Mus musculus: one gene and its partners. The protein of the gene in region 3 interacts with the protein of the main gene of each other region in a biochemical or structural test. Links are inferred from orthologs where the notes say so. Each region holds a gene or a part of one and is shown on either strand. Other genes may lie near its edges. The genes, in order: Ywhaz, Pard6b and Prkcz.

Region 1 (3,747 bases), on a different chromosome or scaffold from region 3:
GGCGTCCACAGCACATGGAGGGAGCCAAGCGCTTCCGATGTCTGCTGCCTGCTGCAGTCTGGAGTCACGGCAGGATTTCTAGCAGTCACAACTCCTCAAGCTGGTCTTCCTCATATTTCCCCAGTTTTCTTTCGCTCAATTTTAAAGTTCCCTAGATTCCAATTTACTTCTCATTTCTTCAACAATTCCAAGAGCAAAATTCTAAATCATATAGTGATCCCACAAAATACACTTTAATGAAAAGTCACAACCTGAATGCACTAAGTGTAGGAATAAAGAGTCACTGCCGCCCACCATGGAAATTCTTTCCTTTACCTTTCCAGAAAGGACCTCTTTTTGGTAGCCAAATGAGCAGTGTCCAGAACAGAAACACGGATAGGGCTAGCTTAAATTCGAGACACAGTACCTTCCGTGCATTAACTATTTAAAATTTGTGAACCCATACTTCCCCCGGGGTCTCGAAATCTAACATTAGAAACGGTCACTGGTAAATGTTGCTTCCAAAAATGATGTAAGCCTAAGTCAGTACAAACGTTCCCCCGCCAACCTCCCGGATAAGGGGAAGTGGATTAGGTTTCTCACAGGAAAACGAGCGCTCCTGGGCCTCGCCTTCAGACTGCGGGAATACTCGCCGCACCCACTTAACCCTTGGCTGCCTGAGGCCGGAGGGTGGGGCGAACCGAAACCGCGCAGCGGTGACTTTAAAGCGCTAGTCCTTGCGTCCGCGCCATCCGCAGCCACCTCCCCTCCTTGGCTCCGCCCAGGCTGGTGCCTCCGCGCTAGTCCCCGACTCTCTTTGTCATGGCGGAACTGTGTCAAGGAGCCCAACCTACTCCGACTGTGAATCGCCCCCCCACCCGGGCAGAGGGAGGAGCAGTCCGTGCACCCGCCCCAGTCGGAGGGTGGTGGTGGAGGGGGAGCAGATCACCCTCCCCGGGGGCCCGATGCCATCCGCGCCCGCAGAAGCGGAACCGCGGCCGGCCCGCGCCGGACACACCCCGCTCCCGCCCAGGGTCCCCTCCGCCGGTGTCCGACCCAAGCCCCGATGTCCCGACAGCTGCGGTAGGGGGAGGGGCAGGGCCCCACCCAGACAGGCGCAGCCCCCATCCTGGGGCCGCAGCTCCTGGAAAGATGCGAACCTCCCACCAGCCCAGGACGCTGGGGACCCCGTGCCCCGGTACCCCCACGCCTAGCTCTGGCCGCGCCCCTCCCCCACCGCGCGTCCCGAGAGTCCTTTCTGGCATTGCGGGCCCCAGCGAGCCCAGCCCAGGGTCCCTGGCGGGCCCCACCCCAGAGCCCCGCGTGCTACCTGGCTGCCCCCCGCCGTGGGGGAGGGGGTGGCGGGGGCGCCCCGGGTGGGGGCGGCCTCACCTGCGCCACGGCCGAGTCACAGTCGCGGGCGGAAGCAGGGTGCCGGCGGGGGCGGATCGCGGTCGCCCTCGGGAGCGGGAGCCCCTGGGTCTCGCGCGTGGGCGCCTCATCCGCCACCCCCACCCCGGGGACCAGAACGGGGCGATGAGCAGCCCGGCAGGCCAGAAGCAAGCGGCCGGGGGCGGCGGTGGGCGCCTGCCCGGGCCCGGCAGAGCCGAGCCGCCGCCCGGGTCCTCCTGAGAAGACCCCTCTCGGGCCGCAGCGCGGCGGCGGGCTGAAGGGACCGGAGGCCGACTCGGGCGGCTCCTCACCTGTGTCCGGAGTGGGTGGCGGCACACGGACGCGGCTCGGCGGTCTCTGGGCGGCGGCGGCAGCAGCGGTGGCGGCGAGGCTGAGACTCTGTCCCTGATCTGGCTGCTCACAGGCTACAGCCGCTCCGCAGACACGGGGTTTCCTCCAATCACTAGCCCCGGCAGCAGGGGCACCACACGCACGATGACGTCAAACGCTGCTATGGCAACCGTTGATTGGTGCCCACAGTTCTCCGGCCCGGCGCAACCGCCGCTCCCCTGCGCGCGCCCGGCCGGCCCGCCCGTGCCCGAGGGCGAGCGGAGGAGAGCGCGTACTCGCGCTCCGCTCCGCTCCCGACCCTGCCTTCACCCGCGTGCTCGGTTCGCTCCCCGCCGCCCCCGCGAGCTGCCCTCCCTCCCCGCCCCTGCGGCCCGCGGAAGGAAGCCTCTCCCCGCCCCCACCTCACTGGCGGGCACATCCGGGACCTTCGCGTTCCCCCCCACCCCCTTCCCGCTCGGCCGCCCTCTCTCTGCGCCGGTAATGGCGGTGGGCGGGTTGCGGGGCAGGGTGAAGGCAGCTCTACTGCCAGGGCATTGTGATCAGAAGCCGAGAGTAGGGCAGCGGCTCCGCCAACGCCGGGGCAGGGAGGCCCGGGCGCGGCTGCTCCCTCGGGCGGCCCGCTTTACCTTCTGGCTGCAGGAAGCGGCCTTAGACCTTTTAAGGCTGGGAAAAGCGCGAGGCTGAATGACGCCCTGCCTTTCCAGTCGCGAGCTCGGCGTCCACACCGTGACAGCCGCGGGGACAATGGGTGGTCGCTGGGAGGAGCGGGGAAAGGGTTGGGCTAGCGGGTTGGACGTGATCGTAGAAGCCTGACGTGGGGCGAGGCGGGGAAACAGGCTAGAACACACCGAACTGTTGTCGTGGGCTGCACTTTACCCTCTGTAGAGCTTTCATTGGGAGACACATTGTTCCTAATTAGCGCATTGTAAGAGAGTGACCGACCCTTTTAGGTCCTGGAAGCAAGGTTAGGGAGCGTGGCCGTTCCTAGGGCTCTAGCTGGAGGAGGAGCGAGGCTCCTCCGCCCGGAAAGGGGGGGGGGGGAGGAAAAGGGCGGAAATTGCAGGTGCCTGAACCCGCAAGGTCTCCACCCAGGAGACGGAAGTTGAAAGGAGATGCAGTCTCTATGAAGAATCTGTCCTTGCTCTCTTTAAATGTGCGCCTCTGAGCTAAAATATTTTCACTGAGCCCCTTCTGGGGCCTACACTAAGCACAACTGGAAAAAGAACCTCAGGAATTCAGCCCCAGAGCCCCCTGGAAGACTTCATGACAAGCATTCTTTCCCTACCACTGTCTTTCATCAGAATGTTGGTTACATTGTTTGAATCACAAGTTTGTTGTACAAATTATAATTTGCCTGAAATGACAGCTAGGTAGAGATTTGCCTGTGACCAGTTCAGTGTCGCTCCCCTCGCCAACCGCCCTCCCCCCTCCCAACACACACACCGGTTTCCACAGCAACAGATAACATGCTAAGCAGATGAGCAAATTAATTCAGGTTTTATCTCCAAGATACTGAAGTCAACTTACTTTGGCTGTAATGTAAATTCTTTCAGGGAGTGACTCACTTAAAATGACTATTTCAAAAGCTTTTATGTTTGCAGTTTTGTAGTAGGTGCTAGAAATTTGACAGAAGATACTAGGTTAAATCTTTTGTAAAATGGAAATGTCTGTTAATGTCTGTAATACACGTCTATATGGAATATACACCTCAGGGAAAGTTAAGAGATTTCTCTGCATAAATTGCAGACTTGTTTTGGAAAATAGTTTGGGCTTTTGCCTTGTGCATTAACTAGCAAGGTTTCTTTGTGTTTTAATAAACCAAAAGGTGCTTTTAGTTTTTACAAACTCCAATCAACATGTTTGCCTAATAAAGGCATAATAAGGCTGCAAGGGGGCCAGAATTAGATTTGCCATGGAAGGTCAACTGAGAAGAATTCTAAAGAATAATATGTAGCAAAGCCAAAACCCAGAGCCTATAGGCCTGAAGTATGGGGAAGTTACTGGTGAGTTTGATTAGCTGCCCAA
Region 2 (3,747 bases), on a different chromosome or scaffold from region 3:
AAACCAGTACACTGCAGGCAGGGGCAGAGTCTCAGGCTAACCTAGGCTACATGAGGAGACCCTCCCTGACCCAGTGGGAGAACCAGGTTCTACAAGTTGTCCCAACACCTACATGTACACAAATATACTTCTGTGTGCACACACAAAATACCTTATCTTAACATATGTTCTCAGTGTGTAGCCTAGGCTGGCCTGGGACTCACAGAGATCTGACTGCCTCTGCCTCTCAAGTTCTGGACATCAAAGGCATGCCACTGCACCTGACCTAAAACTAAAAACCAAAACAAAACAACTAGGGAATGGCCACATGGCCTGCGTCTGTCATTCCAGCTCCGAGAGACCGAGTGCCCCGAGCTGGGGTTCAGCCTGGACAGGTGGGGGATGTGGGGACCGAGGCCTGGGGCTCAGCATAGCCCTGGAAAAGGGTCAAGGAATCAGTGGTGACTCAGTTTCACTCCCTATGCAGTAACTAAGGATGCTTGGCAAACATCCTTACATCCTCTCTTCATGTAATTTCAAACAAGAAAGTAGCCTTTATACAAGTCCGTTTTTATTTGTAAAAAATAATATGTAACTAAAGCTAACTTGATTCTTAAAATCAAAGTTCATTTAGTGATAATGTACATTTTATAATAAAATTGTAGTAAAATACTGACATTTAATAGTTTAAACAAAGTATCATTCATGTAAAAATCATGTTATAGCATGTATGTTATAGCATGTAAAATTTAATTAGAAAATTCATGGTTCACAACAGCACAGCATCTGGTTGACATGGCGGACTTAGGACAGAACAGAATTCACAGTGAGGCTCGACGTTCGGGACAACAGAACTGCACGCTAAGCTGCCGACGCTTACGCTCCTGTTCCGAGGTGTCTCAAGAACTGAGCCGACGGGACGGGACGGGACGGGACGGGACCTCCACAGCCAAGACTCACTGGCCTCACAGAAGGTCTACTGACATTGACTTCATTGGTACGACCTCATCACTAACAAACACTATTGTCCTTGAAATTAAAATCAGCGTCAGCAGCTCTGATCTCCGTTTTCAGACAGAAGAGAAATCTGTTTTTCAGTTAAAATTTGTACAAAAGTCAAGCCCTGAAGTATTTCTTCCCCCAAGAGAAAGGTTCTATGTTAAAACTCTGTTAAAAAAAGAGAGAGAAAGAGAGAAGAGAGAGGTAGTATGTGAAATATCTTTACTTACAATGCTGAGCCCATGCACCCCTAAGTTACATATGCAACTGAGCCTTCTGTGCCTATGGCTGCCTTCCACTGCAGGGAGCGCAGTGTCAGAGGGGGAGCGAGGGGGAGCACTGCTAGCAAGCGGTGGGTGCCGTGTGAGAGGAGAAACTCAGTGAATTCAACAGTCACAGGCTCACTGCACCCAGCCTCCGCCAGGCGCCTGCAGATAACTCGCTCAGTCAGTGCCCTTCATTGGATCAAGACTTCATTTCTGCCGGCTCTTACTACGAGGAAAAAGTCCTTCAACTCGGAGTCAGTACACACCTATGAGGCACCCACACTCGGCCACCACAAGGTTAAGAAATAAATAACTGTCCCCCTCAGAGCCTTGGGCCTCAGGGAAGTCTGAGCCACACACGTGGGTCTCGCTGACTGTGCATGCAACAGGAGGGAGCCAGGTAAGGGAAGACAACTGCGGTCCCCTCATCCCAAATGGACGCACAGAAGAGAATAAATAGACTCAAATAATCACCAGCCCTGCGAGTGGTGTACTTGACACGGGTTTCCCCAAATGTGGGCAGCACCCTAGAATCCCCAGGAAGAAAACTCCGTCTTTTGAATAAAAAGTGCACATCTATATCGTGTGTAAGTCTCTTAACCTGGGGGCATTTTTATCCCATGATCCACACTGTCTGGTACACTGAAGAGTGTGGGAGTCAACTAACTATGCTATCACCTACCCACAAACACACACACACACACACACATACACCACACATACACACACACACACACACATGCGCACACGTGCACAGCACACACTGAAATAATCTCCACTGGACTGGAATGAAGGACTATGGCACCCCGAAACTGTAAAGTTCCAGGGTGACGACAACAGGTGTCGCTCCAGGGCCAGGGGAAAGGCCCCTAGACATGGCCAGCTAAAGTTTTAGAAAATGGGAAGACAGAACAAAAACTGCACATGAAAAAATAATTTGTCACAGTTAACAGAGGAACACTTTAAAAGTCAGAAAACAGGGTCTGGGAATCGAAGAACCGAGGTCCCCAGTGGCTAGCAGATGATCAGACTTCACAGAGGGCAAGGAGCGGGCTCTGCAGGCAGGTGGACACCGGCCACCGCAGCTCGGCTCAGGCAGGTCTCAGTTTCAGAGCAGCAGCACCTGCTCCGTGTCACGGCAGCCTGCCTCGGCAGACTCCCAGCCCAGCCCGGCCACACTTGTTGTGGAACATCAGGGCCTGCAGGTCCACAGTGTCAGTCATGTGTGCACACCAACATTGTTCCTTACACCCTCAAACAGAAAACAACCTGGTGGTTCACAATGTTATGATTGTCCCATCTTCCTCTAAGAGTTTCTGGTCCGGAGCCCGGCTTTCCAGCTCTGTGTCCAGGCTGCCGGGCACAGGCACCAGGCTCGTGTCCTGAGGAGGGGAGAACCCGTTCTGTCCGGACTCAAAGCTGAGCTCGATCTGCGTCAGGGACTCCAGGCTCTGGGCGGGGGTGGCCTTCGGGATCTGCTGCGGCTCGCCACTGTCTTCAATGATGATGTCGTCCTCGTCGCTGTCCTGGTCCTCGGGCTCGAAGCTGGCCTCCACCTGCTGTGGGAAGCCCAGGAGGCTGTTGTCAGTGGACTGGCTGGAGCTGCCAGAAGTCCGACTGTTGCGCACCACGTTGTTCCTCTGGTTGGCCGGGCGCACGGTGATGATGAGGTTGCGGCTGTTGGCTATCATCATGTCAGTCACCTGGTCCAGGCTCTTCCCGGACACTTCTATACCGTTGACTTCTAACACCTCATCGTTGACAGCTAGCAGGCCCGTGCTCTGGGCCAGACCCCCAGGGACGAGCCGAGATATGAAGATGCCGGGGACTTTCTCCAAGCCGTGCGGTGTCACTCGGACGCTGGAGCCATCCCGGATGTAGAAGCCCAGCGGCTTCTCTGTGCCGTACTTGTACAGACGGACCCTCCGGTGCGTCTCTGGGAGGATGTCCACGTCGATGATGGATGACACGGGCCGGAAGTCCTGCGGCATGCTGATGACGATGTGAGGCTTCTTCCGGTGGTTGTCGGGACGCAGCACGTTGCTCAGCATGTTCTTCTTCCTGATCAGGGTGTCGGTGCCAAAGGCACTGTAGTCAGCTTCTTCTGCGTGGAGAGAGCAGACATGGGACAGTTACAGACCCGCTGAAACACAGCTGCCCACAGCTGCCCCAGCAGACCAACGCCAGGCAATGCACAGGCCACCTCGGCTTGAGTGGCTGCTTACTCAGCCAGACTCAGTCACTGCACCAGTGACTGCCGTGCCATCAGAAGACACTAGAGGGCCCTCTCACACATCACAAACATCACTAGCTATGAACACCTTAACTGGCCAGTGAAATTCTGATAGTCAATTGTGGCCCACACACCTGTTGTCATCCCCCTGCTCAGGAGCCTAGGGCAAAAGGTAGAAGGATCCCAAGTTCAAGGCCAACCTGGGCTATATCATATCACAGCAAGTTTGGGGCTCCCCTGGACTATGTCCTGAAACCCAGTCTCAAAATC
Region 3 (3,647 bases):
TGGGGTGTCTCATTAGGGGTAAGGAGTCATTGTGTCCCTCCGTCCCCAGGCACACAAGGGCAAATGTCGAGTCCTTGTAAGTTACCCAGTCTTGGGCCTTCCATCTAACAGCAGGACTGCACTGGGACCCTTACCTCTCCTTACTCATCAATCACTTACCCACGTGTGCGGTACGCCTGTCGGATCAGGTTTGTTTCTAAGAACTGAGATGCATCTATAAGCCAGACACTGATCCCTGCCACAGAGCCTAAATGTACTAGGGAACATCACATCAGCTCCACACCAGCCACATAATGCCTGCATCCCAAGCCCGTGCAGGGCAGTGTGGCCCATAGGACAGATCTTCACATCGTTCTGGGACCCGTTGTCAGCCACCTTCCCCTGAAAGAGCAGAGTGAATGCTGGACAGAAGGCTGGGCACCAAATCCTCAGGGATGCCCCCACTGTGTCATTACCCCTGTGTAGCCCAAGAGCCCTGCTTGATAAAGAGCAGCTGTATCTTTTGGCTGTCCTGGAACTCGCTCTGTAGACCAGGCTGGCCTCGAACTCAGAGACCCACCTGCCTCCCCAGTGCTGAGATTAAAGTCATGCACCACCACCACCTGGTATGAGTGTGATACTGAGAGGATTTCTTGCCACATACATCTCGGTACCACGTGGCACATGCCAGACACCAGTCTCTCCTGATGGCTGTTCATTCCCTGCTGGGCTAGAGGGTCCAACTCTAAATAGTAAAAGATGGAGACAGAGTTAGAATGAGGAGAGGATTGAAGGTGGACTTTCCCCGTGCCCATCTAGGTGAGGATGTTGTCACACCCAAATACCATTATGATCAGGTTCTGAGACCAGAGAGAGAGAGCACTCCTGTGTAAGCAAGCTTTCAGACACCAGCAGTAACATTGTTTCTAGGCACTTGTGCGCACGAGCTTTCAGCCGCCAGTGGTAACATTGTTGCTAGGCACAATGGGGCCTATATGTCCAGCACCTTTTTAACCTGTTTACTTTTCCTGGTACTGCATATTTTCTTCTAGAGTCTGTGCTTTTAGGGGTAAAAAATGGCATTCAAATACCAGGCATGTTGAAAAACTGAGCTTCCCATTTTATTTTGTGATTTATGTGCACACAAAGATCTGATGCTGGCAGAGAGGATGCTCAGCACCCATCTGACCTCTCTCTTGTCAATGTTCCCAGCTGGAAAAGAAGCAGACCCTGCCTCCCTTCCAGCCCCAGATCACAGATGACTATGGCCTGGACAACTTTGACACGCAGTTCACCAGCGAGCCTGTGCAGCTGACCCCAGATGATGAGTAAGTCCCGGGTATCCTGACCTGCCCCGACAAGTGTCACAGTGGAACGTGTCCTAAGCAGCTAGAACCCCTGGGCCAGTGCATGGCCCCATGCTTGGGTCCTTGCCTCTAGAGTGTGAACTAGGGGAGGGACACAGCTGCCAGTCTTCATCTGCTTCTTGTGTTTTTAGGGACGTCATAAAGAGGATCGACCAGTCCGAATTTGAAGGCTTTGAGTACATCAACCCACTTCTGCTGTCTGCTGAGGAGTCCGTGTGAGGCCATGAGCATCTCTGTTGTGGACACGCCTGTGAATGACCCTGTCACTTTACCCTTAACTACAGCATATGCATGCCAGGCCGGGCACCGAGGCTCCAAGCAGCCAGGGAGGGATGCTGGCCACCAAGACCGAAGAGGGGCGTCCAACAGGCACTTCTAGACAGAGCAATCTCTTGTGTCCAGGCCCCAGAGGCTGGCTTTGTGCTGGAGGAACCGCTTCCTGTGCACAGAGGCCCTACCGGAGGGTGAGACAGCCAGCCACGCCGTTTGGAAAGGTGCACATCTTCCACAGAAACAGAACTCGATGCACTGACCCGCTCCAGGAAAAGTTAGCGTGTAATGCCCTGAGGAATAAAGTGTACCGATGATGTCGAAGCTTCCTCTGATGCCTTTTTTCTGTGGCACCCGCCTGATGTCCCCAGCGCAGCCCCCACATGAGGAGGAGCTGCGCTTTCTGAGCAGTCAGGACGTAGGCAGGGGACAGGCACCCAAGTGCCTGCAGGGATGCGCTGCAACAAGAATTGTTACAGATTCGGAACGTTTTCTAAATCCCGGTAAGTTCTGTTGTTAATATTTAACAAGTATTTTCATACCTAGCACAGCTAGCCATGGTAGGCCAAGGCCGAAGGGACACCCTTACCAGGTTGGTGGCACTGTTCCCACCAACTGTTTGGACTCTGATGGGGAAAATTGGATCATAGAGATTCTAAAACATTGCTCACCAAAGCATCAGTAAACCAAATAAATAGGTAAATAAATAAAAAGGGAAAATAATTGAAAACTAAATCCGCACAAAATATATTTCTGAAAACACTAGCCAGTGCCTCCAAGACATCTTGTGTTATACATTAGATTTTTTGGAAAATATTTTTATCATTAATACTCCAGATTAGGAAATTTAAAGACAACGTGTGTGATGGACCCTAGCCTTAAAGTGACAGACTACCCATAATCTCACACTCTTCCTGAGGAAGCACGCCTGCTTCCATAACTGCTGTGCTCAGCCATCCTCCTCTCCAGCTTAGTTCCAAAGGCCAGCCCAAGGCTTTCTGGGAAGAGGTCAGCTAACGTTACCCTTAGCAGGTCGGGTGTGGCCATGGCTTACCCACCTTTGTCGTGGGCAGGAGATGGAGAAGGCACACCGCAGTGACTGAGCACCCCAGACCCACCCAAGCCAGGCTGGCCCATATGGCAAACATGCTACACACCCCCCCAACCCTGCCAGGTTGAGACCCTCAGTCTCCACGTCAGGGCAGAGTGGAGTCTAGGCTCCGGTCATATTTGCTTCATGCCTTGGGGTTGGTGGTCCTGACAAAGATCAGAGTTGGAGAAAATGAAAATCTTAGAGGCGCTGTTACGGTGCTGCCCTGCTTCTCCGTGACGCCCAGTGGCCACCCACAGCCCTCACCCCAAAACACTCAGGTTTCTCAGGCCATCGCCATGTCTGGCACTGAAACGTGTCAGAGCCACACCCAGATCCATGGTGCTGGGACAGAACAGGCAGCCCAGGTTTCTGACACCATATCCCAAGTCCAGGCTTCTGGGTGGCTCTGTGTCTCCTATTGATCATGGACACATTTTAGCCAGCACTCCCTGTGTCCATTGGTAAGATATGTCCCCAACTAGTCAAAAAATGCAAATAGAGCCTAAGAGCCGATTTTTGGGCCTCCCAGGAGTACCCAGCCCAGCCTGGGGGCCTTCCAGGGGTACTTAGCCTAGTCTGGGGGTCCAAGTGGCTGGAGCCCCAGTCTGAGGCCTGTGTAGTCACAGCTGCCCATGAGTTGAGCTGCTAAGATAAAGAGCCCGCAGATGATCCAAATGCAAACGGGCTCCTGCGAGCCTCCTTTCCTCCCAGTGTGCTGCCTAGGGACAGCAACAACTGCTTTGCCCAAGCAGCACTGGAACCCTGGATTGTTAGACATGGGGGCTTATTTGGATACTGCCCTATTGCCAAATGACTTGCTGGTTACTGGTTCGGCTGCTCATGTACAAATGTGTGAATAATATTGTGCCCACCAGAGGGGGAGATTTTTATATATAGCAATTTGTTTTATAAATTAAAGAAAGTGAAGGATGTATTGA

The links.
Region 1: the proteins of Prkcz (region 3) and Ywhaz form a complex in vitro, tested with the Homo sapiens proteins (2 studies listed by BioGRID, with this or other methods). The link is inferred for Mus musculus from reciprocal best matches to the Homo sapiens genes PRKCZ and YWHAZ.
Region 2: the proteins of Prkcz (region 3) and Pard6b form a complex in vitro, tested with the Homo sapiens proteins (2 studies listed by BioGRID). The link is inferred for Mus musculus from reciprocal best matches to the Homo sapiens genes PRKCZ and PARD6B.

What each region holds. Positions count from the first base shown.
Region 1 is NC_000081.6:36,791,797-36,795,543, forward strand, and holds the start of Ywhaz (14-3-3 protein zeta/delta), read right to left. Parts: upstream 2,743-3,747; 5' UTR 2,349-2,742; exon of another isoform or gene 2,124-2,348; intron 1,883-2,123; exon of another isoform or gene 1,880-1,882; 5' UTR 1,683-1,879; intron 1-1,682.
Region 2 is NC_000068.7:168,097,985-168,101,731, reverse strand, and holds the end of Pard6b (partitioning defective 6 homolog beta), read right to left. Parts: intron 3,349-3,747; coding exon 2,522-3,348; 3' UTR 529-2,521; downstream 1-528. UniProt on the Homo sapiens protein: Adapter protein involved in asymmetrical cell division and cell polarization processes. Probably involved in formation of epithelial tight junctions.
Region 3 is NC_000070.6:155,260,362-155,264,008, reverse strand, and holds part of Prkcz (protein kinase C zeta type), read left to right. Parts: intron 1-1,191; coding exon 1,192-1,307; intron 1,308-1,477; coding exon 1,478-1,565; 3' UTR 1,566-3,647. UniProt on the Homo sapiens protein: Calcium- and diacylglycerol-independent serine/threonine-protein kinase that functions in phosphatidylinositol 3-kinase (PI3K) pathway and mitogen-activated protein (MAP) kinase cascade, and is involved in NF-kappa-B activation, mitogenic signaling, cell proliferation, cell polarity, inflammatory response and maintenance of long-term potentiation (LTP).